4 linked regions of the Caenorhabditis elegans genome follow. The protein of the gene in region 1 interacts with the protein of each later gene in a pairwise test. Each region holds a gene or a part of one and is shown in the gene's direction. Other genes may lie near its edges. The genes, in order: rad-54.L, Y102A11A.2, ZK1067.3 and F37A4.1.

The links.
Region 2: the proteins of rad-54.L (region 1) and Y102A11A.2 interact in a two-hybrid assay, tested with the Caenorhabditis elegans proteins (one large-scale study listed by BioGRID).
Region 3: the proteins of rad-54.L (region 1) and ZK1067.3 interact in a two-hybrid assay, tested with the Caenorhabditis elegans proteins (one large-scale study listed by BioGRID).
Region 4: the proteins of rad-54.L (region 1) and F37A4.1 interact in a two-hybrid assay, tested with the Caenorhabditis elegans proteins (one large-scale study listed by BioGRID).

What each region holds. Positions count from the first base shown.
Region 1 is NC_003279.8:9,063,186-9,070,770, forward strand, and holds rad-54.L (DNA repair and recombination protein RAD54-like), read left to right. Parts: upstream 1-1,893; 5' UTR 1,894-1,901; coding exon 1,902-2,005; intron 2,006-2,419; coding exon 2,420-2,498; intron 2,499-2,571; coding exon 2,572-2,815; intron 2,816-2,858; coding exon 2,859-2,998; intron 2,999-3,097; coding exon 3,098-3,443; intron 3,444-3,516; coding exon 3,517-3,641; intron 3,642-3,686; coding exon 3,687-3,805; intron 3,806-3,849; coding exon 3,850-3,927; intron 3,928-3,974; coding exon 3,975-4,101; intron 4,102-4,149; coding exon 4,150-4,257; intron 4,258-4,302; coding exon 4,303-4,411; intron 4,412-4,722; coding exon 4,723-4,889; intron 4,890-5,279; coding exon 5,280-5,621; intron 5,622-6,048; coding exon 6,049-6,146; intron 6,147-6,267; coding exon 6,268-6,379; intron 6,380-6,422; coding exon 6,423-6,497; intron 6,498-6,788; coding exon 6,789-6,872; 3' UTR 6,873-7,079; downstream 7,080-7,585. Other genes in the region: snx-3 (Sorting nexin-3), read right to left, coding at 549-654, 743-963, 1,010-1,075, 1,118-1,213.
Region 2 is NC_003284.9:2,025,103-2,031,547, forward strand, and holds Y102A11A.2 (Chromatin-remodeling ATPase INO80), read left to right. Parts: upstream 1-1,539; 5' UTR 1,540-1,550; coding exon 1,551-1,620; intron 1,621-1,671; coding exon 1,672-3,347; intron 3,348-4,252; coding exon 4,253-4,339; intron 4,340-4,382; coding exon 4,383-4,439; intron 4,440-4,488; coding exon 4,489-4,584; intron 4,585-4,660; coding exon 4,661-4,750; intron 4,751-5,024; coding exon 5,025-5,150; intron 5,151-5,761; coding exon 5,762-5,878; 3' UTR 5,879-5,908; downstream 5,909-6,445. Other genes in the region: Y102A11A.3 (Protein unc-13 homolog A), read left to right, coding at 1-68, 115-193; Y102A11A.5 (MliC domain-containing protein), read right to left, coding at 5,941-6,141, 6,194-6,391.
Region 3 is NC_003280.10:9,221,590-9,225,704, forward strand, and holds ZK1067.3 (uncharacterized protein), read left to right. Parts: upstream 1-1,679; 5' UTR 1,680-1,685; coding exon 1,686-2,078; intron 2,079-2,125; coding exon 2,126-2,215; intron 2,216-2,261; coding exon 2,262-2,522; intron 2,523-2,571; coding exon 2,572-2,714; intron 2,715-2,766; coding exon 2,767-3,028; intron 3,029-3,449; coding exon 3,450-3,500; 3' UTR 3,501-3,587; downstream 3,588-4,115. Other genes in the region: znfx-1 (NFX1-type zinc finger-containing protein 1 homolog), read left to right, coding at 1-828, 872-1,001, 1,048-1,145; abu-14 (Activated in Blocked Unfolded protein response), read right to left, coding at 3,823-4,056, 4,101-4,115.
Region 4 is NC_003281.10:6,721,607-6,726,228, forward strand, and holds F37A4.1 (alpha/beta hydrolase), read left to right. Parts: upstream 1-1,782; 5' UTR 1,783-1,797; coding exon 1,798-1,915; intron 1,916-1,961; coding exon 1,962-2,173; intron 2,174-2,217; coding exon 2,218-2,481; intron 2,482-2,528; exon of another isoform or gene 2,529-2,614; intron 2,615-2,812; coding exon 2,813-2,974; intron 2,975-3,021; coding exon 3,022-3,211; intron 3,212-3,259; coding exon 3,260-3,330; intron 3,331-3,375; coding exon 3,376-3,438; intron 3,439-3,496; coding exon 3,497-3,828; intron 3,829-3,873; coding exon 3,874-3,910; 3' UTR 3,911-4,118; downstream 4,119-4,622. Other genes in the region: bath-41 (BTB and MATH domain-containing protein 41), read right to left, coding at 28-179, 246-346, 395-550, 596-651; F37A4.2 (PRKRIP1 family protein), read left to right, coding at 950-1,045, 1,097-1,221, 1,270-1,618; wdr-4 (tRNA (guanine-N(7)-)-methyltransferase non-catalytic subunit), read left to right, coding at 4,189-4,281, 4,326-4,418, 4,469-4,622.

The sequences.
Region 1 (7,585 bases):
TGCTCGTTTTAATGATACACTCAAGATATTTGCGATATGCACACAACTGCCAATTTACCACTTTAAAATCCAAAGAAACGAAATCAAGGAACGGAAGACTTATTTTTCATATTTGTTCAAATAAAAGGGGTTCATGCAATAAAAATAGTGCAATCAATTGGGAAATTGGGAAACTATACACAAAAATGTAAAAATAAATATGAAATAAACAGGAGCCAGAAAATGGAAATCAATGGGAAAGAAGTGGTGATGGGGACAAAGTACACAATTTCGAAAAATACCGCATTTTGGTGGAGGGATGGAAACAATATTTTGATGGGCCGAGATTAAATTGGAAAAAAGCTTCTAAAAACTCACTTTTTGAAAACTAAATATCTCAAAAGATCAGAAAGCGTTACTCATTTTTTGTTATGTAAAAATATGATAAGAAAACATTATCATTTTTTAAAAGTTTCCTTCTGTTTATTGAAACAGACAGCGTTAAAACTATAACTCTGGGTATTTTGAGATTTTTCTCGTGAGCGGAGAATTTAGAAACATTTTAAAATTTAAGCGGTACGAATTTTGCCAGGCACGTAGTTTTTGTCAATAGTTGGCTCCTGGAGGAAAATATGGAGAGAGCGTTCGTTTTGAGCAAGTGGATGTCCAGCAACCCTGCAAGAACATATTATTAAAACTTTTAGAAATGTGAAAATTTTCTGAGTTCATTTTGATGTCCGTATAGTTGAACAGTTTTACGTACTTATTGATGAATAACTCGAGAGCTTTGCGCCTATTTTCAATGAATTCCTCTTCAAAAATTCCATCATCGGATCGGAATGGCAGTTGCCGTTTGAATGATTTTCCTGGCAACGTTGGAACCACAATCTTGCTATCTCGCTCTAGTTCAGCACGAACCCATTCGAAATCACTGTATCGGCGACGCACGCTTGATTCTTTCTGCTTGAAAACGGGGAGATTCGACTGAAACAACGATTTTATTATGCGGTCAGTGTTAATCTATACTTACTCTCATTCTGATTTCGTAATCCGTGTAGCGCATTTTTCCAACACCATGAGTGATAGGATTGATAACCTGCAAGTTATCTTGATCTAATTCATTGATTTTTATTCAAACCTCAATTTCAAGGAAGTTGGCCGGCGGGGCATATGCCTCGTCCAGCGTTTGCCGTTTTGAAGGGATCCGCTGAGTTGCCGACGCGCCGGATGCCATTTGCACTGCAAATATTCTAAATTATATCAAAGTTGCTTTGAATTGTTTATTTAAGTATCGATTTTCACAATATAAACAAAATAAAAGTGAAATTTATGTTGGAATCCAAAGCTTTAATCGACAACATGCGAGAACATCGTTTGCTTTTTGTTTCGCTGTTCGGCAAACTAAAATGGAAAAAATAATATGAAGCTGTGAAAAATCAATAAATAAAACTGGAATTTCAAGGAAATTACGGCAAAAATGACTCATCGCGCGCCGATAAACAAAACGAATCAAGAAATGAAAAAAGTGGCAAAAGTACGCAAACACTTTTGTGTTAATGCACACAAAAAATTCAACCGTACCTCAAACTGAAATTTCAAAAGCAGACACCGCAGATTCATGGAATGAAAAAGCAGTGACTCGCTATGACTCAAAATTTTAAAAAGATTATAATTGATTCAAAAGCAAAAAAATGTTTCACAACAAATCTATGTTGTAAAATAATTGTTAAATTGAAAATTAATAGCTGACACCGCCCTGTGTCCGTGTTTCGTCTTCTTCGAAACTTTGTTTTCGTTCAAGATGGCGCGGCGCCGTTCTTTTTGAATAAAAAGAGCATTTTAAAAATTTTGTTGAATTTCTGTAAATTCTACTTGTTTATTCAGTTGTTCTGCGAAATTAAAGATTTTCTTAGTTTTCAGGAATGCCAAAAAAAACGTTCGAAAATTTAGAAGATAGTCATGGAAAAGATGTTAATATCCCAGTTGAACTGCCAAAAAGGAAACGAGAAGTTACACCGGAAAATTTGTGAGCTTTTATAAAAAATTCAAATTTTAACACATACCGTATTCCCTCTATTAGTCTTGCATGCAAGACTAATAGAGGAAATACGGTAATAGTCATGCACCCCTATTCTTGCCAGGCCAGCAGTATTTTGTCAAAACTTCAAAATTTTCGCCATTTTTTAGCTAAATTAAATTTTAAACTGTTCAAGTAATTGATAAAACAATAGAAAAGCATGTATTTTGCATGATTTAGACTGTTTCAAGTCAAAATTTTGACGATAAATGGCCAATTTAACAAAGCTATTGGATCTTCGAAAATTAGTCTTGTAGCCTCTAATAGTCTTGCAGTCCCTATTAGTCTTGCACCCCTACGGGTCTATTGAAAATTAGTCTTGCATGCAAGACTAATAGAGGAAATGCGGTATATTATTTTCAGACCTTCCACAAGCTCTACTGCTCCAACACAAAAACGGAAAAGTCTAGGATATTCAGGACGAACGGAGGAACCGAAAAATGTATTAATATTTTTAGTTGCAATGAAATACAATTCGGAACTTAATTGTAATTGTAATTTTTAATGTTTTTCAGATACACAAAACCTTCATTTCCCCTTTTTCTACGTCAGTTTCTCCTTCAAAACAAGGTCTTCGACGACGAAAGAAGGCACTGCCTGCCATAGAACCACCTGTATCTGTAGAAGAAGCAAGTCCATTACGTTTTGTGAATATCGATGTATTCTCTAGACGTATGGCTTCCGAATCATCAGATCACGATGCTATGATTGCGAAGTTGTTGTCGAGAAAGTTTTCAATTCCGATGGAGGGATATATGTGTAAGAAAACATGTAAAAATGTTTATTTTAAACGAGTTTTCAGTATCTGGTCGAAGCCTAGGTCTTGGTGGAAACCGTCGAAAATGTGCTCTATTTGATCCATATCATGAAGGTGCATTGATTCTTTATGCTCCTGAACATCTTAGTGAACACGCACAACTCAAGGAAGATAAGGATCGAAAGGTGAGAATTTTAGCTGCGAGAATCGAAAAAAAAACATGAATAAAAAAAACGACTCAAATATTGCAAAAATATGAATGTCCATTTTATCAAATTTTTCAGGTGCACGTGGTAGCCGATCCGGTTGTTGGAAAAATCCTGCGTCCGCATCAAAGAGATGGTGTTAAATTCATGTGGGATTGTGTGACTGGTATTAATATTCCCGAATTTCATGGATGTATTATGGCTGATGAAATGGGTCTTGGAAAGACACTTCAATGCATTTCTCTACTTTGGACACTTCTACGACAAAGTCCCGATGCGTGTCCAACAGTTTCGAAGAGTATTATCGTTTGTCCAAGTAGTTTGGTGAAAAATTGGGATAAAGAAATCAAAAAGTGGTTGGGAACACGGCTGAATGCGATGCCAGTGGACAGTGGAAAACGAGAACAGATTATTGCTTGTCTCAGTGAGTGAATAAACTTGAAATCTTGAAGAAAATGTTATAAACCCCTGAAATTAAGTTAATTTTCCAACTTCAGATTCATTTATGGCGGATTCAAAAATGCGTTGTGCCATCCCTGTTCTCATTATTTCATATGAAACATTCCGTCTTTATGCGAATATTCTTCATTCTGGAGATGTCGGAATCGTTATTTGTGACGAGGTAGATACTGTATTGTTTTGACTCTATTTAAAACGAGCTTTTCAGGGACATCGACTCAAAAACAGCGAGAATCTGACGTATCAGGCGTTGAGTGGTCTCAAATGTGCTCGAAGAGTCCTGATTTCGGGTACACCTATTCAAAATGACTTGTTAGAGTATTTTAGGTACTATTTGTTCAAAATATTCAATTATTTTTAATTAACTTCAGTTTGGTCAATTTCGTGAATCCCGGACTTTTGGGTACTGCAAGTGAGTTCAGGAAGAAGTTCGAGAATGCTATTCTAAAGTTAGTTATTTTTATTCCCAATTTTTTTAATCCGTGATCTTTTCTAGAGGTCGCGACGCCGACGCAAGTTCAGAAGATCAGAAGAAAGGTGAAGAGAAAACGAAGGAAATGATTTCACTTGTAGAGAAATGCATTATTCGAAGAACATCAGCTCTTTTAACAAAATATCTTCCGGTATGATATGAAAGTTTCTGATTTCTAAATAAAATTATTTAATTTCAGGTTAAATATGAGCACATCATCTGCTGTAAAAACTCAACACTTCAAGAGACACTCTACAATAAACTTATCGAATGTGAAAAACAAAACCGCATTGTCGAAAAGGACAAGGTATTTTGTTTGAAAATTCAAAAAATACAAATAAATTGTTTTTAGGGTGCCACCGCATCTGCTCTTTCGTTTATCACTCATCTCAAAAAGCTTTGCAATCATCCATATTTGGTTTATGATGAGTTTCAAAAACCTGATAATAGGTTCAGAAACAGTGAGTTTAGAATTTCAGATTTATAAAAATGTATTCAAAATCAAGAAAAAATCGGAGCATTTAAAATCGGAAAAAAAAGTTCAAAATTTAACTATAAATTTCAATGTTTCGTAAAGCTTTGTTTATGCTGATGAAAAAAAAAAGAAAACGTATAATATTCTTCAGAAAAAACCAAAATTTTAAGATATTTTTCGAAAATTCAAAAAAATTTTTAATATCGGAAAAACAAAAAAAAGGTTTCGATTTACGATTTTAGTGAAAAATCGAAAAACCGACACCGTTTTTCACAAACTTCTGAAAATAATTTTCAGAATGTCTATCCATATTCCCTGAATCATTTAACCCGAAATCATTTGATCCATCGTTTTCTGGAAAAATGAAAGTTCTCGATTATATTCTCGCAGTCACTCGCAAAACAACTGATGACAAGTTTGTTCTCGTATCAAACTACACACAGACAATTGATCAATTTATGGAGGTAAGCGAATTTCCAAAAAAAAAATGATTTATGATAAAAATCTAGACCGACTTAAATGTGGAGTTCGCTTCAAAAAATCATAAATAGTCTCAAATTCAGAAAATTCACAACGGAGAAAACGAAAAAAAAAGTCAACTTTAAAAAATCAATTTTCCATGTTCGGCTAAATGTTCTGTTTGAATTTCCTTCAAAATGAGAAGCCCACTTTCCAAAAAAACAAGGAATTTAAAATGTCGATTTGTTTTTTTTTTCGCGATTTGTTTGCTTTCTTTTGTGGGTTTTTTGGAATGTATGACTATTTTGGATTTTTTGAAGCAAATTCACCACCTTTAAAATCTAGACCGACTTATAACGTGGTCACTTAAACTTTGAAACTTCTTCACTTTTCAGCTGTGCAAACTTCGTGGCTATGATTTCGTGCGCCTTGATGGTTCAATGTCAATCAAACAACGTTCCAAGATTGTCGATACATTCAATGATCCAGCCAGCACTATCTTCTGTTTCCTTCTTTCTTCGAAAGCTGGTGGATGTGGTCTAAATCTTATTGGAGCCAATCGATTAGTTATGTTTGATCCGGATTGGAATCCAGCGAATGACGATCAAGCAATGGCGAGAGTTTGGAGAGATGGACAGAAGAAAATGTGTTTCATCTATAGACTTTTAGCAACTGGATCAATTGAAGAGAAAATGTTTCAACGTCAGACACATAAAAAAGCATTGTCATCGTGTGTGGTAAGATTTCCTCTTGTTCATATAATCTAAAAATGTTCTAAAGACTACTAGAACTAAAATGTTAAATTTTGCGATTTTGTCAAAAAATTCGGTTCCCCGCTTCGACTTTTCTCAAATGCAAATGAGTGTGCGCCTTTCAGGAGTACTGTAGTTCTCAATTCCTCGTTATCGTGAAACTTTTTTTTAATTTTTTGCTATTTCTTTTTCGCCTTTTCAAATACTGTATTACATGTATCTTAATTTGCTGAAAATTCTGAAAAAAAACCTAGAACCACGGTACTCTTTAAAGGCGCTCGCCATTTTTAATTGAAAAATTGGTCGTGTCGAGACGCGGTAACTAACTTAATTTTAGAGTGAAAATTGCAGATTATTATGTGGTTATTATTATCAGTATCTGGGTATTTAATAGTTATCTTAAAAATTTCAGGTTGATGCGGGTGAAGACGTAGCTCGTCATTTTAGTTCCGAGCAACTTCGAGAACTCTTCAAGTTGGAATCAACAGTGGCATCGGATACACATGAAAAGTAAGTATCAGAATGAAAATAATATTTTTTATAAAACCGATTTTATTTTTGGTGAATTTTTCTTCTGATAGTTATAATAATGTTATGCATTATAATGTACAATTGTATAAATTTCTTTCAGATTAAAATGTAAAAGATGTATTCAAGGAGTTGAAAGTGTTGATCCACCAACCAATGCGGACTGTGCAAGTGATTTATCGAATTGGTTTCATTCTCAGAAATCAGCTAGAAAAGTTTGTATTTATTATCTTTATTTTTAAATATTTTAATTTTCAGGTGGCTGATAATGTGCTCCGAGCCGTCTTCGAATGTGGATCGATCTCCTTTGTTTTTCATCAGAAATCGCACAACGTAGGTTTAAAAAAACTACGTCTATGGTGCCAAAATTACCAAATATAATAGTAAAATGTTTCAAAAAAAAGTGGAAATCAAAAAGTGACAATTGCTCAGTTTTTGTCACTCAAAATTTTGGAAGTCGACTAAAACAATTTTCCAAAACCGACTGGATTTTTTTTTTGGAAATTCTTTCGAATTCTAGTTGTGTAGTTTATTTTTCTAATTCTGTAATTTTTAAATTGTCTGTGATATATAATTTAGAATCATTGAATTAATATTTCCATGCTTCAAAATAGCGTTTTGCAGGTTGAAGTCAAGAAAGTTCAGGAAAAAGTTGAAGAAGTTGATGAGGACTACGTGCCTTCTGAAGCCGAAGAAAACGACGATTAGTTAAATGTTTCCAAGTTGAAACAAATCTAGAAGTCTCCCTATTTCATAACATAGACTATCTATGCGATGAAAACGGGACATGTTATATTGTTTTGTTATTTATTTAATTTGTTTCTTTCAATTTTTGTTCCAAGTCATCCCAATATCATTTTTATCGCCCGATCTCATGTAAAATACACCGCCTGCAATATGAATTTTCAATTTATTTTTCAAATTCAGACAAAAAAAAGACAAACTTTGATCAAATTGTGGGTGGGTTGGAAACGAAAGGGGTAGTTGGTAGTTTTTTTTTGCACAAAAATACATTGATACGATGTACAAATTTTCAGAAAAAAAATTCATGAAAAATGTTGAGAAAGAGGAAAAAATTATGCAAAAAAAGACATTATTTTGTAATTTGAGGGAAGAAATTATGCCTATTATTATAATAAAAACTTTAAATTTTCCGGGAAAGGTCAGGCGCCAACAGGTATGAAATGAATATATTATATTTTTTGAGCTTTGATGATGTAAATAAAACGGAAATGTTGATTATCGATCGATTTTTTTTTCAAATTTGAAAAATCAAAATCGACAATCTTCGACTTAGACAATAAATATGCAAAATGTCGCAAAAAATTCAATTTTTTGGGGGAATATTTTGGTCAGAATCAGTTCACTTTTTACAGGTTTGAGTTAACCTATTTGAGGTAATTGACTAGAAGAAATTTTTT
Region 2 (6,445 bases), on another chromosome or scaffold:
GAAGAAGTCTCATATTTCTTCACAACCGCGTGTGTTGCTGCACTTGCATTCATGTCCCCGGCAGAAAAGTATAGTCTTTTTTTCAAATATTTTTTATTAATTTAATAATTTCAGCGATTCATTATTAAATTCGGAAATCATTGAAAATGCATCAAAATATATATCCAACTCTCCGGAAGCAAATGAAAAATGAGACAATTAAAAACCCTAGATATTCATTGATTTTTTGATAAATAAAATTTCCCATTCTATTTTTGGAATAAACATTTAAACTTCTCACTTTTGTTTGATTTTTCAGTGGTGTATTTTCCAAGCGTCTGTAAATGTGAATCACCTATTTTATTATCAATTTACCACCCACATCTCAATGAAGTGTTTAAACAGTGCCTAAACTGTCTTCCCAAGTTTCGAACCTTATCAATTTTCTCTTTCTGAGTCTCGCAAATTTTCATTTCACCCAGTACTTTAAGGCGATCGCTTACATTTTGTGTGGCACCGATCTGTTATCAGTTTTTATGTGTGCCTGTGTGCGTGTGTGTTGTGCATGAAGAGTCGTTTATGACTTTTCTAACCAACTTGATTTAGTCTTCAATCGCTCTTCTCACTATTTTTACAGGAATACTGTTTATTTATGTATAAGGAATAATTTTAATTTTATTATCATTTTTATTAGAAATAATTTTAAATAAACTCTCATCTCAACTTTCGTAATTTCCATCTCGAATTTTTTTCGTGAATTTTTCCACTACTTTAGAGGCCTGTACGGTTTTATTGAAATAGTGTTTTTGCAAACTTTCAATGTTTTTCAAAATATTTAAGGGTAGGTAAACATTTTAGGAAAGTTTTCGAAAATTTCTTTGCTCCATACTGGCGAGAAATCATCCAAAAACGGTATTTATGGGTTTCGTTCCCCTCAAAATGCTTCAATTTTCTTAATTTCAATTAACCACAAAAACGTGAATTTTTTGGAACGATTTATAGAAATGAATGTTTTGTTCCGACACTTTTGTTCACGTTTTTAATTTGAAAAGTCGAAAATTGAATTTCAGAAACGACAAAAACCACAAAAACGTGAACTTTTTGGAACAATTTGGAGAAATGAATGGTTTTATTTGTTAAAATGAATGCTTTGTTTTCTACTTTTGTTCACGTGTTTTAATTTGAAAGGGGGTTATTGAAATTTGGAAAATTAAAACATTTGGGGGGGGGGGGAACGAAACCCATAAGTACCCCAAAGAGTTTTCATAATTTTTACCTGCCCTTGAAAAGTTTCAGCATCTGGTGCAATTCTAGAGGCCTCGAAATTAGTGAAAAAATGTACTGAAAAATGTTTAGATCAAAATTGAAGGCTCAACATTTTGCAGTGACCACCCTTCAGTATATATTTTTCAAATGACACATGTCTCGTTTTGAAATGTAACGGTAAAATGAAAACATTTTTTTAGACAAAAAACCTTGCATCTCTGTTGTTCTCATTGTTAAAATTTTGCTTGCACAAAAGTGTACTCGAAATACAGTTTTTACTCTTAACATTTACAGAAAAAGGCATAATGGCCAACCAAGATCAAAACTATTTAGGACCACGGACTCATCCTCCAAATCTTCAAAAATCTACATCATGTGAGTTTATGACATATGTATAAATACAATTTAAAATGTATAAATTTTCAGTTTCTGGTGCAAAATTGCACTATCAGTACACTGGAAAAGAACAAAAAACGAGCAGTTCCAAAGATGAATCCCGTGTACATCATTCTGAAAATAGAAGTCCACATTTGTCAAGGCAATTAACAGTTGATTATGGTGGTGGCTCAACAGTGGATCAACGATCGCAGCTGGGAACTCAAGCTACTTTCTCACCTGGAAGTTCAAGAAAGACTAATTTCAATCCTTACGATCCAGGTGTTCATACGAAAAGTTACGAGGAATCACAGAAACCGCCGCTTTACGTGGGTTACAATAGTTACGCGAGTCATTCCAATGAACAACCGACAACTGTCAGTAGCTCTAGTGCACGACAAAGCTTTCAGGATTCTGCCAGTATGCAGAACCCAGCAGAAAGCACAAGATCTATTCACTACAGTCGGTATTATCCTGAAAATTTAACTGCTCCAAATGATGCTTCAAATGCAAGAAATCAAAAAAACGAGACCGTGCATCCTAGTACTGATGGAATAAGAAGTTTCCAACAATCCCCGACATCTTCTTACAATGACTCTGCTCAACCGAACTACGAACTCTCAAGGACGACATACTCTCCGGCTTCTCACCGACCTACACCCACTAAGGATTACTCCGATCATCGCGAAAAGCCATATAACACGGCTACATCTCATCAATCAAGTGAAAGATTAAACTCCGAATCTAGAAGTTCCAGAAGTTCTCAACTGACACACAATCCTTCTTTCGATTATTCAAGTAGTAATCACAATACCAAATTAGAACAACCCAATTCTCATTCTCCACACTTTAGCTCACGCGCTTTCAACGCGGTTCGCTCCCCTGTAGTCTCTATGGATTTGCATCATCGTCCAAAAGACGACGTCACCTTGGCAACTTCGACTGCTTCACCACTCTCTTTCTCTGGGCACAGAGCACCACCTGCCGAAGTGCGTGAAACTCTACCCATGTCTTCTCAAGTAAGCACATTTTTAAGAGGTAACGAGAGTTCTCGGCATTCATATTCAAACCCGTCCACAAAAGTAACTACGACTCCGCCAATACAACAATCACATTTGGGTACAAACTATCTCACAACTGTGCAATCATCGAACTTAGACAGAAGTCCTTCACCGTCACGATCGAGATATATGAACAGTCGAGATCGTCGTAAAACAACAACAATCATCCCATCTTCAATTCCACAGTCCAGTGAGTATAAATCAGCTTTCCAAAGGGAAGCCCCAGCAGTGTACTATACAGAACCTCAATCAACATACAAGCCTCTGCCCATGAGCTCTCAGACGCAAAATAGGAATCTCACAATAGGATACACTCCAAATCAGTTTCAAGAAATTGAAAGAGCTCAGAGGGAATTCAAGAATCAGAAGAAACAGGAGGAAGAAATTCGGGCTAAACTTGAAGCCAAAAAGAAAGCAGAACAAGAGAAAGAGAGGGCAAAACGAGAAGAGCAACGAAGAATTGAAGAAGCTGCTAAACTGGAATATCGGAGAAGAATTGAAGAATCGCAGCGGCTGGAAGCAGAAAGGCTCGCATTGGAAGCAACAATGGTTGATGAAGATGAAGACGTGGCAAAGTTTATCCGCAATCTTGAAGAAAGAATCAAAGACTCACGCGATTCAAAAAACTTGAATGGCGCTCTCGTAGGGCGCCAAATCAACCAGAGCGTAGGTATTCCATTTTAGAAACAATATATCTCCTCTTTTTGATTTTACAGAGGTGTGCGGCGAATCTCTAAATTCGCCGAGCTCGGCAAACCGCAAATTCGGCAAATTTGCCAAGCTCGACAAATTCGGCAAATTTGCCAAGCTCAGCAAATTTGGCAAATTTGCCAGGCTCGGCAAATTTGGCAAATTTGCCAGGCTCGGCAAATTCGGCAAATTTGCCACGCTCGGCAAATTCAGCAAATATTATAGTAAAAAATGTTTAACAAATTCTAAATTTTATATGATTTTTTAAAATTTAGAAAAAGCTCAATGTTTGTAATTTTTTTTAGAAGTCATTTATCGAAAAAAAAAACAATTCTCCTTTGAATTTCATGGCTTACTTGTTTTTCAAATATTATATTATATTATATTATAATATTATATATAATATTATAATATTAAATATTATAATAGTGGAGTGGCACCAAAAATTTTGAATTTTTTCAAAATTTCCAGTCAAAGTTCTGGCACACTGCCAAATTTTTGAAAAATATATGTTTTTAAAGAAATCCAAAGCAATGTCGCATCTTCTGACCTCTAGAGTGTTTTGGCACACTTAATTAAAATAAAATTGAAGTATAAAAATCGTAGGAATTTTTTTTAATCGACTTCCAAAATTATAAATGGCAAAACTGAGTAATTGTACCTTTTTGACAGTAAATAAAAATTTTTCAATTTTTCTCGAAAAGTTTTACTATGATATTTGGTCATTTTGGCATCATAAAGTGGCTTTTAACAATTTCCCCACTGTCGCTACTCTTCCTTTTAGTTTGAAATAAAGTGCATAACTGACAGAAAAATATGTTCTTCAAAGTGTTTTCTGCCCTTCAGTAACTATTAGTTTCCCACCAACGTCACTTTTTCAGCTTGCAAAAAATGCGGAAAATCTCACAAGTGCGCAGACTGATGAAGACAACGGACAAGTTGAAGGACACGACGGCGCTAATGATCAGGTGGGTATCGTGTCGTAAAAACGGTCGTTTATTGCCTTTGTAGGAGTCTATACAAAACGTTGCCGACAGCTCGGAAGAGTACACGTTTCTTCAACGAATTGTATGTGTAGCTAGTTCTTTACAACTTACAATTTACTTATTTATTTCAGAAAAATATGAAAACCGATCAGAACGCCAATCGCAAAAAGTATGCCGAGCATTATTATGATTTTGATGATTATGATGACTCGGAACTTCATTCGACGGTATAGTAATCTTTCTATTTTTATATTTATTCTATTTATTGTGACTGACTCACTATTAGAACACTCACATTTTCAGACAAGCATGAATTCTCTTCTCTCTACTGTCACTGAAGAAGATCCTGATTCCACTTCACTCAATAATCATTCGACTTCAACTAATCCTAAAGTAATATTTGCGCGAGTGGGGAAGTGCTTAAAAATTACTCTACATAATGGTGACAAAATGACAGAATATCATAGTAAAACTTTTCAAAAAAATTTTGGAAAATTTTAATTTTCTGTCATAATGTGACAACTACAAAGTGTTTCTACGATTTTTACACTTAAATTTTTTTTTTCTGAAAATTTTCGAGTGTTTTGAGTCACTATAAGCGTAGTTAAACAAAATCCACACATGCTTTTCTTCACCTTCAAACAGTGCTATAAATTGAAAATTTCAGTTATCTACTCTTCAGCCAAGTGTCATCTCTTTCATCCACGATCTGGTGGACGGCATCTTATCATCTTTAGATAAAACCGATATTTCAAGACCTACTGATACTCAACATCTTATTAAGCAGCACGATGTAAGATTCCATAGACCCAATACGAAAGTATCAATAACTAACCCTAGAAGGTTTGAAATTTTGATTCAACTGATAGAAAATGGGCCGTAATAACCGAAATTAATTGTAAAAAAAATTATAAACTTTTATTAAATTTTTAATGATTTTTTTTTCAATTTTGCGACAATCCAAGAAACGGCCATATTAAATTTTAATTTTCTCGCAAATGAGTGACGTCATTTTTACACTCACAGGGTTTACTTCATAATTTTATTTGACAAACTAATTGTACTTTTCTCAAACATAGTTCCGTGAAGAAAACTTGTTTACCCAAAAAAAATCAGCAATATTTTTTATGCGGAAAATTGCTGGAAAAATTGACAAGCTGTGTTTCAAATATAACATTGAAAAAAAATAGAGAAAAACAGATAAATATAATCTGAAAAAAAGAAAATGTCAAGAGTGACGTCACTTATTAGCGCGGGAATTTAGATTTAATTTGGCCGTTTCTTCGAATTTTGCAAAATCGGAAAAATCATTAAAAGTTTAGAAAATTTGATTAAAAAAACGACAGTGCTCTTCCAAACTGAACTCTATTTAATATGGACTTTATTTTATAATTCAACTTTCAGGAAGAATTCTACAATAACTATCAAACCATGACTACTGATACAGTCCGCCAGTTTTTCACCCCGCAGTATTCTCAGGAAGAAGCAACTACAAGCACTTTTTATAATGACTCTTTATAATTGAAATTGATGAATAAACGAGACAATTTTATTATCAGTTTTATTATTGCTATTCCTCTTGTTTACTTTCCGCAGTTTCCCTCGGAGCACGCGATTCCTTGTCTGTCGAGTACATTGAGAGTATACTCATCATCAACAGCTGTCAGGAACCATCCGTTTCCAGTGAACTTGGATTGAGTCTTCTTCTTGAGAACCCATTTGTCGTCTTGCCATCCGTAGATCATGAATACCCATGGCTTCTGCTCGCAGTTTTTTCCCTTGATCTGAAAAAAAAACTGGAATATATCAAGAAAGCCTGCAAAATGCGAAACTCACATGAACACTTTTCTCGTGCTTCCACGCGTCAAGAATAACTGGGTCAGACATGATAGAAAGTGATGGGACGAGAAGATCGATACGAATCTTTTTGTGCGCATCATTACGGAATTTCACTTGAATTTTACACTCGAGATTCCATTGTGTAGAAACAAGTCCAATGAAAGCACAAAGCAAAAGCAGCTGAAGAGAGTTCATTTCGATCATGAAAGTAGCCTATCATTCAATATTTTTCTTTTATATAAGAATCCA
Region 3 (4,115 bases), on another chromosome or scaffold:
GAATGCAACGTGAAGCCATGTACAGAACCGTGCACTGATAAACTCAAATGTGGACATGCATGTCTTGGTATTTGTGGTGAGCAATGTCCGAAAATCTGTGGCACGTGTGAACGAAACAAATACATTGAATGTGTTTCTGGCACCTCAAGTACATCACGAGTTCATCGTCTCATCATGATTCCGAAATGTTATCACGTTTTTCCTGTGGAAGTTCTTGATGATCACGTCAAAAAACAAAAAGAAGCTAATGAGAAGTTGAAATGTCCCAAGTGTTCGGCGTTCATTGTTGGAGTCTTGAGATATGCAAGATACACTAAGAAGTATTACTTGAATGAGAACATGAGAAAGCTTGAATCCAATATTCGGAACATCCATCAATCAACATTAGAAGGAAGAGTTTTTCAAGCTGTTCAGGATTCAATTGGAGAAATACGTAATGTGACGACTAATCTCACCAATGCTTCGGAGGACATTCTACGCAACTTCCATCAAAAAATTCTCGACATTCGAACATCAGCGGAAACATTCAAAGGAAAGCCGGAGCACAAGTTCAAATTTGCATCCCTACTTCAAGTTGCAAACTGCTGCCTAGCTATCACCAGACTTTTGTCGGTTTCATCGAAGTTCCGAGTTTCCAGAAGAAAAGACATTCCACCAACATTCGATCTGATGTCAGTGAGAGTTTTAGGAGATATGCCATTTCCAAAATTGATTGATGAGTTGAATCGAGTGAATATTCATCTATCGAATACTTACGAAACGTTCATGCCTGGTGCGATTATTCCAAAGCTGAAATGGCTTATTTCAAGAATGACTGTTCTGCAGCAGGTTCGTTTGGTTTCCAAAATTGACAAATAATTTTGTTTTTCAGCTCACTTCTATGTGCCACCAATTGGTTTTGGAAAAGAAAGACATCGCGGATTCAGATGCTCATGCAATAAATGATGCATGCCTGAACATGTTCAGATACAACGAGCAACATAATTACGCGCTTAATATCGGTATGTTTAATTATTGAAAACTTGCTTCTTATAGAAAAGTTTTCAGAGAATTTCGAGGCTATCGTCGTCAAAGTTGCCCCAAAACTGCTCGAACCTACTCCAAAGTTCTGGTCATGGAGAAGACTTCAAGTTCCAGAACTCTAGTCATTCCATTTTTTGTAAAATATCGTATTTATTTTTTGATTTTAGACCCCCCCCCCCCCCTCCCTTTTCATATCAACGTTTTAACTGTAAATTTAAGTGAGCTGGTACATTTTCCTTAACACTTTTTTGGATGTGGATTCCTTGAGATTTCGATTGAGAAAAATTGAAATTCAGTTACTATTTATTTTTTCAATATTCCCACCGAAATCTTCAGAAATCGTATCCCAGAAAAAACGTGTCCTCTACCCCTCTTTTTACTCGGGTTTTATTGCATTGGCGCTCCATCTCGTTTCGACGCGCGTAATTTGTTTTTGAATTCAGCAGGACCCCCGAATCTCTCCCTCACACTTGTTTTATATTTATTTTTTTTTTAATTCATTTGCATATATTCATAACAAATGAATAATATAGTTAAAACATCTTTGTTTGAAAATTAATTATTTGGCATCGTGAATTCCTGTTTATTGATATTTGTTAATATTTATGTTCTCTTTTTGAAAGTGAAGTTTTACTAATGTTAAATCAACTTTTCAGATCGGAATGGTTTTTCCCCGTCGTCGCTCAATAATTTCACAAGAAGAACGGATTAATAGGTTGAAGGAATCAAGACAGAAGTATAATCGGTTAGCAAAAAAGTCTACGAAGCCACCAACGGTTCCCATAGCTCCAAGAGCATCGATTGCTCCAAAACAGTCGGTAGCTCCGATGGTTTCCATGGCCCCTCAACAATCTATTGCTCAAAACAGTTCCACAGCTTTGAGGAACCCAGTCAGTCAAGTTGAACCTGAGGACGACTTCAAAATCGATCAAAATTCGCTAGATATGATTAAAAGTGGACGAATCGTCATTCCAGTGAATCGTCCATCGATAGCTGCGCCACGTCATACATTCGGAGCCAGAGAGTCATTGATTGGAAAGCCTATGAGCAGATTTGTAAGGACTTTATATTAGAAATGAACTTCATGAACTTTTTGTTTCAGAGAGCCTCGATCGCTTCCCGGGAGCCACGTGTAAGCTTGATGCCACTTGGTATTAATGTCTTCGAAGCAAATTCATCTCAAAGGAATGAGGTATTTGGATTGATATTTCTTGATTTTTAAGTTATGATTTTTTCAGGTCTCAGAATTTCTGAACAATATCACCTCTGGAGCAACTCCAGGCAAACCATCCTCTACCAACAACTCGCTCAATACCACGGGCAATCGTCAGCGAAAAATTCGATTTTTCGAAGTTGAATCCGCAATTCAGGAGGCGCGAGAGTCAGCTGAAGCTGATGGAATAGCTGCTTGTTCTTCTTCAGATGTTAGGCACAGTCCTATTTCGGATCTCAGTTTCAAGCCAACATCAATTTTATCGACGAAGAAGGCTGATAGAAAAGTATCATTGCTTATTATCCAATTTTCTTTCTAAAAAAAGGCTTTTCCAGAAGATCAATCTTGCCAATTGTCCATCGAAAACTCCTAGAACTGTTCTAAACTTTGATGAGACTGATAGCATGAACGATTCGTTGAATCAAGAAATGGAAGAAAAAGAAAAGGAAAATCACATTCAAGTGATCAGTTTTCAAACGTTAGTTAATTTCTAAAATTTAACGATTGTAATAATTCTTCATCTTTTCCAGAGTTCTATCGACACTTTGCGATCTAAAACCAGGTCTCTCCAAATATCATATTGCACTTATTGAAAAGTCAATCGAGAACTGGAAGAATATCTCCGCAGTGAAATCGCCAGAGAAAAACTCCCATGGTCCAATTCCGATTACTCCTCTCGGTTCGATCTTGGAAGCTATGAATATTGCCGAAGAAGATTCCGATGTGCAGGAATATGTTCCAGAGAAAAAGAAAAAACGACGAAGCTCAATGATGAAAGCTGGTGCTGTAAGGGTATGTGCATTTTTATAACAAGCATGTGCTCTTTTTTCAAAATTTTTAATTTTCTATCGAATTATGGAATTTTCATTCATTAATTGAAAAATTCTTTAGTGTTTGATTCGATACTTTGTCATTTTTTCAGAAAGTTTTCCGAAAAAAAAGAGTTGAAACTAATGCTACATTACTCATTTCTAGGCTAATTTTGAAATTTCGACGACTTTTTTTTGGGTGACAATTAAAAAAGATCAAGGAAAAAATCAAGAGAAACCAATGAATAAAAAACGCGAAAATTTTGAAACTTCTGTCGAAAATTCGAATTTGTTTCAGTAACTTCGTTTATATTTGCAAAATTCGGAATAAAATCAATAATAAATTTAGAAAAACTGTTAATTTGGATACATTTGTTTTTCTTCTTTTTAAATTTTTTTTTCAGCGTCGCTCAACCCTTCGTCGCTCAGCTCGAGGACTATTCAAACAGGACTAAACAATACAATTTATTATATGATGATTGATTACTGTGAATATATGTGATTTTTTATTTTATGTTTTGCCGAATGAAAACATTTCTTGTATAATTCTTAAATTAGAATAATTTATTGTCGAAACTCAAGGACAATGAAACATCATGAAAAAGAAGGGAACAATAATAAAATAATTAGACACCTCACATGGCTACCACTTATTTACAGACAATGTCATAATAAAAGTTATGTGAGAAGTGGGATGGGGAAACGAAAACAGAAGTTGTCGCATAGAAAACGCGGATACGGTAAGAATTCGTTCATAGAATTCAGGGAAGGGGATGCTTAACGACGACGGCAGCATGATCCACCGCATTGAGAATATCCAGATGAGCATCCACATCCAGAAGAGCTCGATTGGCATGGAACAACGATTTGAGCGGCTTGTTGACAGGTATTCTGGCAGGTTTGTTGGCAAATTGGCTGGCATTGAAGAACGGTAGCCGATGATTGGCAAGTGTTCATGCAGGAAGATTGACATTGATTCTGGCAGTTGTCTTGTTGTTGGAGGACAATGACCTGTAATATTGATTCATGAATTAATGGAAAATCAATATTATTACCTGTTGTTGGTTGCA
Region 4 (4,622 bases), on another chromosome or scaffold:
AGTTGAAAAAAAAACAATCCGACTTACCCTGAGAATGTCTAATGAAAAGAACTTGCTTGCAGTCACGATACCACTACGATTGATCGTAACAAGATTCTTATTGAGATGGCAACTTCTTGGACCGTCTGCTGTTTCGACTGTAAAGCTGACACGGAAACGGAGACGAGGATTAGGGCATTCTGGAAAGAATCTTCGTAAATAACATTTAATAACGAAAAATGAAACACTTAAAGTTCTCTACGTACTATTTATGAGCAGAAAAAGTGAAAGATATCCGGCGGTTTCTTCGTCTTTCCCATTCGGAAATAGTTTCATGACAAACTCATAATCCCCATCTCCAAATTTACTGAAAAATGTAAAACTGATTAATCTTAAACATATTATATTTGCTTACGGTGCCAGCATGAATTCTGCTGGATTGTGAAGCTCTAATTGTACCGTGAAGCGCTCAACGGACCAATAATTGGTAAAGCTTCTCTCATTCATAACCGTACGGCAGCCGGAAACAATGCTTGGACTTTTTCGTTTTTCGGACTTCCCAGACGGTGAGCTGAAAATTAAAAATTTTGGAGAAAAAGAGGTCGTCAGAACTTACCGTGACGGAATCGAAACAGCCGCATTTTCTGGTTGAGCCCCGTTATTGATTTCCATTCTGTAAGCTGATGATGAATTGAAGTTGACTTTGAAACTATAGAATAATGAAAAGTAAATATAATTATTTGATAAACTTTATATTTTAACTGATAATAAGCAACTTCCTATCTAGAAGTAGCTTCTAAGAAAGCCAAAACAAAAAAATTGGATTTTGAAACTGCAGTACGACGCTCCGAGATGACGCAGCGCGTGTAGTTTAGCGTGCCAATCTTTTCGATTTTTCGCGGATAAAACATAAAATTTCCCGGTTTTTTTGCACTAATTTCTTTTTTGATAATTTCTAGAAAATCTCATTATGCCACGAGATGATCCAATCACAGAAGAAGAGCGCCGAGCAAATTCCGCAACCGATTTAATTCGGATGAGACTGGCAAGATTGCAACAAAATATTGTAAGTTTAATTTAGCTAAAAATATAATAATTTTATTTGTTATAATTGCAGGACAAGCCCGCTCCAATTCCAATTAAAAAGGAGACACTGAGAGCGCCAAAAGAACCTTTGGAATTCGTGAGAAATGTCGTTGGTTCTTCAGCTGCTGCCGGAAGTGCTGAATTTCATATTTACAGGTTAGAAAAGTTATACTTTTAATTTGTCTTTTCATATCCAAATTTCAGAAACAACCGACGAAAAGAACAAAATCGACTTGACTACATTGATGCGGTAGCAAAAAAAGAAGAATTGGACGATGCCTACCGTCACAAAGTAGAAAAACTTGAAAAGGAAGAAGAATCAAAAACCGCGAAGAAGAGAGCAAAGCGATTAAGGCAAAAAGCTGCTGCTAAGAAGAGAAAATTGACAAAAAAGAATAATGAATCTGACGAGAGCTCATCAGATGATTCGGATTCAGACTCAGGATCAGGATCTGATAACGAATCTGAAGGAAAACAAAACACAGAAGTCGAAGACAAAGATAAAGTTGAGAAGGAAGAAACGGATGATGAAAAAACTGAAGTTTCTACTTGAAGTTTTTATTACGGAATAACTTATTTGTACATGTTTGATTTAATATAATTGTTTTTCTCAATTGATGTTTTTTTTTGTATCAAAATTCTGAAAAATGGTATATATGTCCATTACATTTTATATTGTCTTTTGTTAATTGTGTTTTCCCTATTTACATATTTCAGTAGCAACTAGTCGAAATGCCGTCCTTCTGGACGCAAATTTCGGGACCACGGCTTTATGGAATTTTTGGACAACCCAATCGACAGGAACCAACACTGGAAAATCTCGGAAACACCGTCATATCGTTTTCTGCAGGTTATATTATTTTATGAAGCATAACCTTTTCCAAACTTGTTTTTAGGAATTTACTACATTGCCAGTTCATTAGCTTTTGGCCCCGTAATATTATGTTACTTGTACAGTCGAGACTGGCTCACACCAGCTGGAATGCTGACAATTCTGAAATATGCCGGATATTTAACACTAATCGGTTATGGAGCAAGAACATTCGGTCGGCTCTTTGACGAAACAAACTCGAGATTTTTAGATATTTGGGAAAACGAAAAAAACAAGGTATCAGTTGAAATCTTTATGTTTATGTATTAATTACGTTTCAGAAGGATGACAACAGTCATGCAGCACTAAAGAAGTACGACTTTGAACTTCTAGACGTGATTCCCGATTTTGTAGCTCGCCCCAATTCGGATTTATGGCATTTAAAACCAGAAGTCGCTGAAGCCGGCGTTGTTACTCGCGGTCTGGCGAGTTGGGCGATTCACGCATTTGGAAGACATTTGATTTATCCCGGATCAATGGCACTTTTGAAATACATGATGAGACCAAATTTGAATGCTGCACGAAAGCTTCTGGTTCAAAATAAGGTGAACGACTTTAAAAACAAAAACAATTTAAGTTCAATAAAAAATTCTGACACGGGCAGGATTCGAACCTGCGTTCGGTTAGAACCGTTTGAGATCAAGTGTCTCATGCCTTAAACCACTCGGCCACCGTGTCAGTGGTTCTGAATTTATGGCAGGCTGTAAACGGGACAGTATAATAGTAGATTATGGTTGTAAATGAATACAGTGTTTTAATCCTTGTGTCAAATTCTGAAAAAAAAACAAAATTTCTTTCCTGAAAGTAGATTTCTAGCTTTTGAAGAAAAAACGGTAAAACATAATTTTGCAACTAATTAATTTGCATTATTTTCAGAATGGGCAGCGTTTGTGGATCAAATCGTCAGAAGGAGACACTCTCGATGCGATGTTTTTGAGAGGCACTAATCAATCACAGGATCTTATAATATGTTTTGAAGGAAATGCCGGATTTTATGAAATTGGAGTAATGAACTCTCCTGCTCAATTGGGATATACGGTAAAACAATCTTTTTCGTAGCCAATTTCATTTATTCGACTTTTCAGACTCTCGGCTTCAATCTTCCGGGCTTTGGAGAAAGTACGGGACTTCCATACGCAGTAAACACTTTAGCAGCTGCAGACGCAGTAATGCAGTACGCTATTCAAGTTCTTGGATATCGCCAGGAGAATATTGTTCTTTTTGGGTGGTCGATTGGCGGGTTCCCAGTTGCTTGGCTCGCGTCCAACTATCCAAGTGAGTATAATTTATGCTATAAAAAATCTTCTAATATATAATTTTTAGATGTAAAAGCAGTTGTATTGGATGCCACATTCGACGACTTACTGCCACTTGCGCTGTTCAGAATGCCGACGGTACAAAATTGAAAAAAAAAATTGAGGTTAATGTTTCCATTTCAGTTCTTCTCTACCATTGTGGAGCATGCGATCAGAAACCATATGAATCTTCAAATCGATAAATTGGTATGTTAAGAAACCTTTAAAACTGCTCGAAAGACTACTTTAATTTCCTAATTTTCAGCTCGCTCGTTACAAGGGACCAATCCGTCTGATTCGACGCCTCCAAGAAGAGATTCTGACCACTGCAGTTGATGATCAACCCGAGAATGTTCGACGAGCAACAAATCGAATCAATTGGCTACTCAAATCGATCATCAAAGACAGACATCCCGAGTTGATTCAAAATTTGGAACCACAAGTAGATCGTTGGCTCGACATGACTCCAACCGAACGGCTCATGCATTCGGGAGTCAGCTTGCGCGAAGAATCAACACAAAGAAAACGTCTTTTTGATGCATGTAATCACTATTTGATTGATTTCGACGCAAATCACGTTACTCCTCTCGATCCACAGTAAGTTTCTCATTTCCAGTAAATCTTTTCATCGCAAAGTTTCAGATACTTCAACATTCCGCATGGCCGTGATACCTTCTAGGCAACCATCTCAATTATCAACTCAATTGTTCACCTTTCTCTTTGTCCCAACTCCCCAATCGCTTGTACATTTAAATAATAATTGTATTTAGAATAGTCGATAATATTGGGTGCAATATTTCTTTATTTATCGAATGTCAAAAGAAAGCTAGTATTTATTTGTATTTATTTCATTGTTTTTTAAATAGTCAAGCAATGAGTCATGCGCTCTTCGATACCTTTTGTTATAGTTTTAATGTTCAGAAAATTCAATATTAATAACTCGATATTCAGACTGACATGTCGTTCATCACAGCATTTCGGGAACGAGTTTTCATTGCATCTGGAGACTTGATCCGTACGTTCAGAATCAGCGAAGAAACTGAATTGAAGGTGTTTCATATTTTTAAACTTGAAATTTCAAAATTTTATTTCAGAACTTCATTAGTTGGTCAAAAATCAACCCGGAACGGATTCAAAAGCCTTCCTTCGATATTGAAAAAGAATTGAAAGCTGTTGAGAAAAGAGTGGTCAGTCCTAAAATAATCGAAACGTTTGTTCTGATAGTATTTTTTTGTAGATTCTGTGTCTCGCTCATTCCAATGTCTTGACCACTCATGGCCGGCGACTTGTTGCAGTTGGAACAAACGAGAAACAAATCCACGTCTTCGAGTATTTCGTTAATGACAAAGGAGATATCGTCACAGCGGAACACATTGTTACCTCTGTCGTTC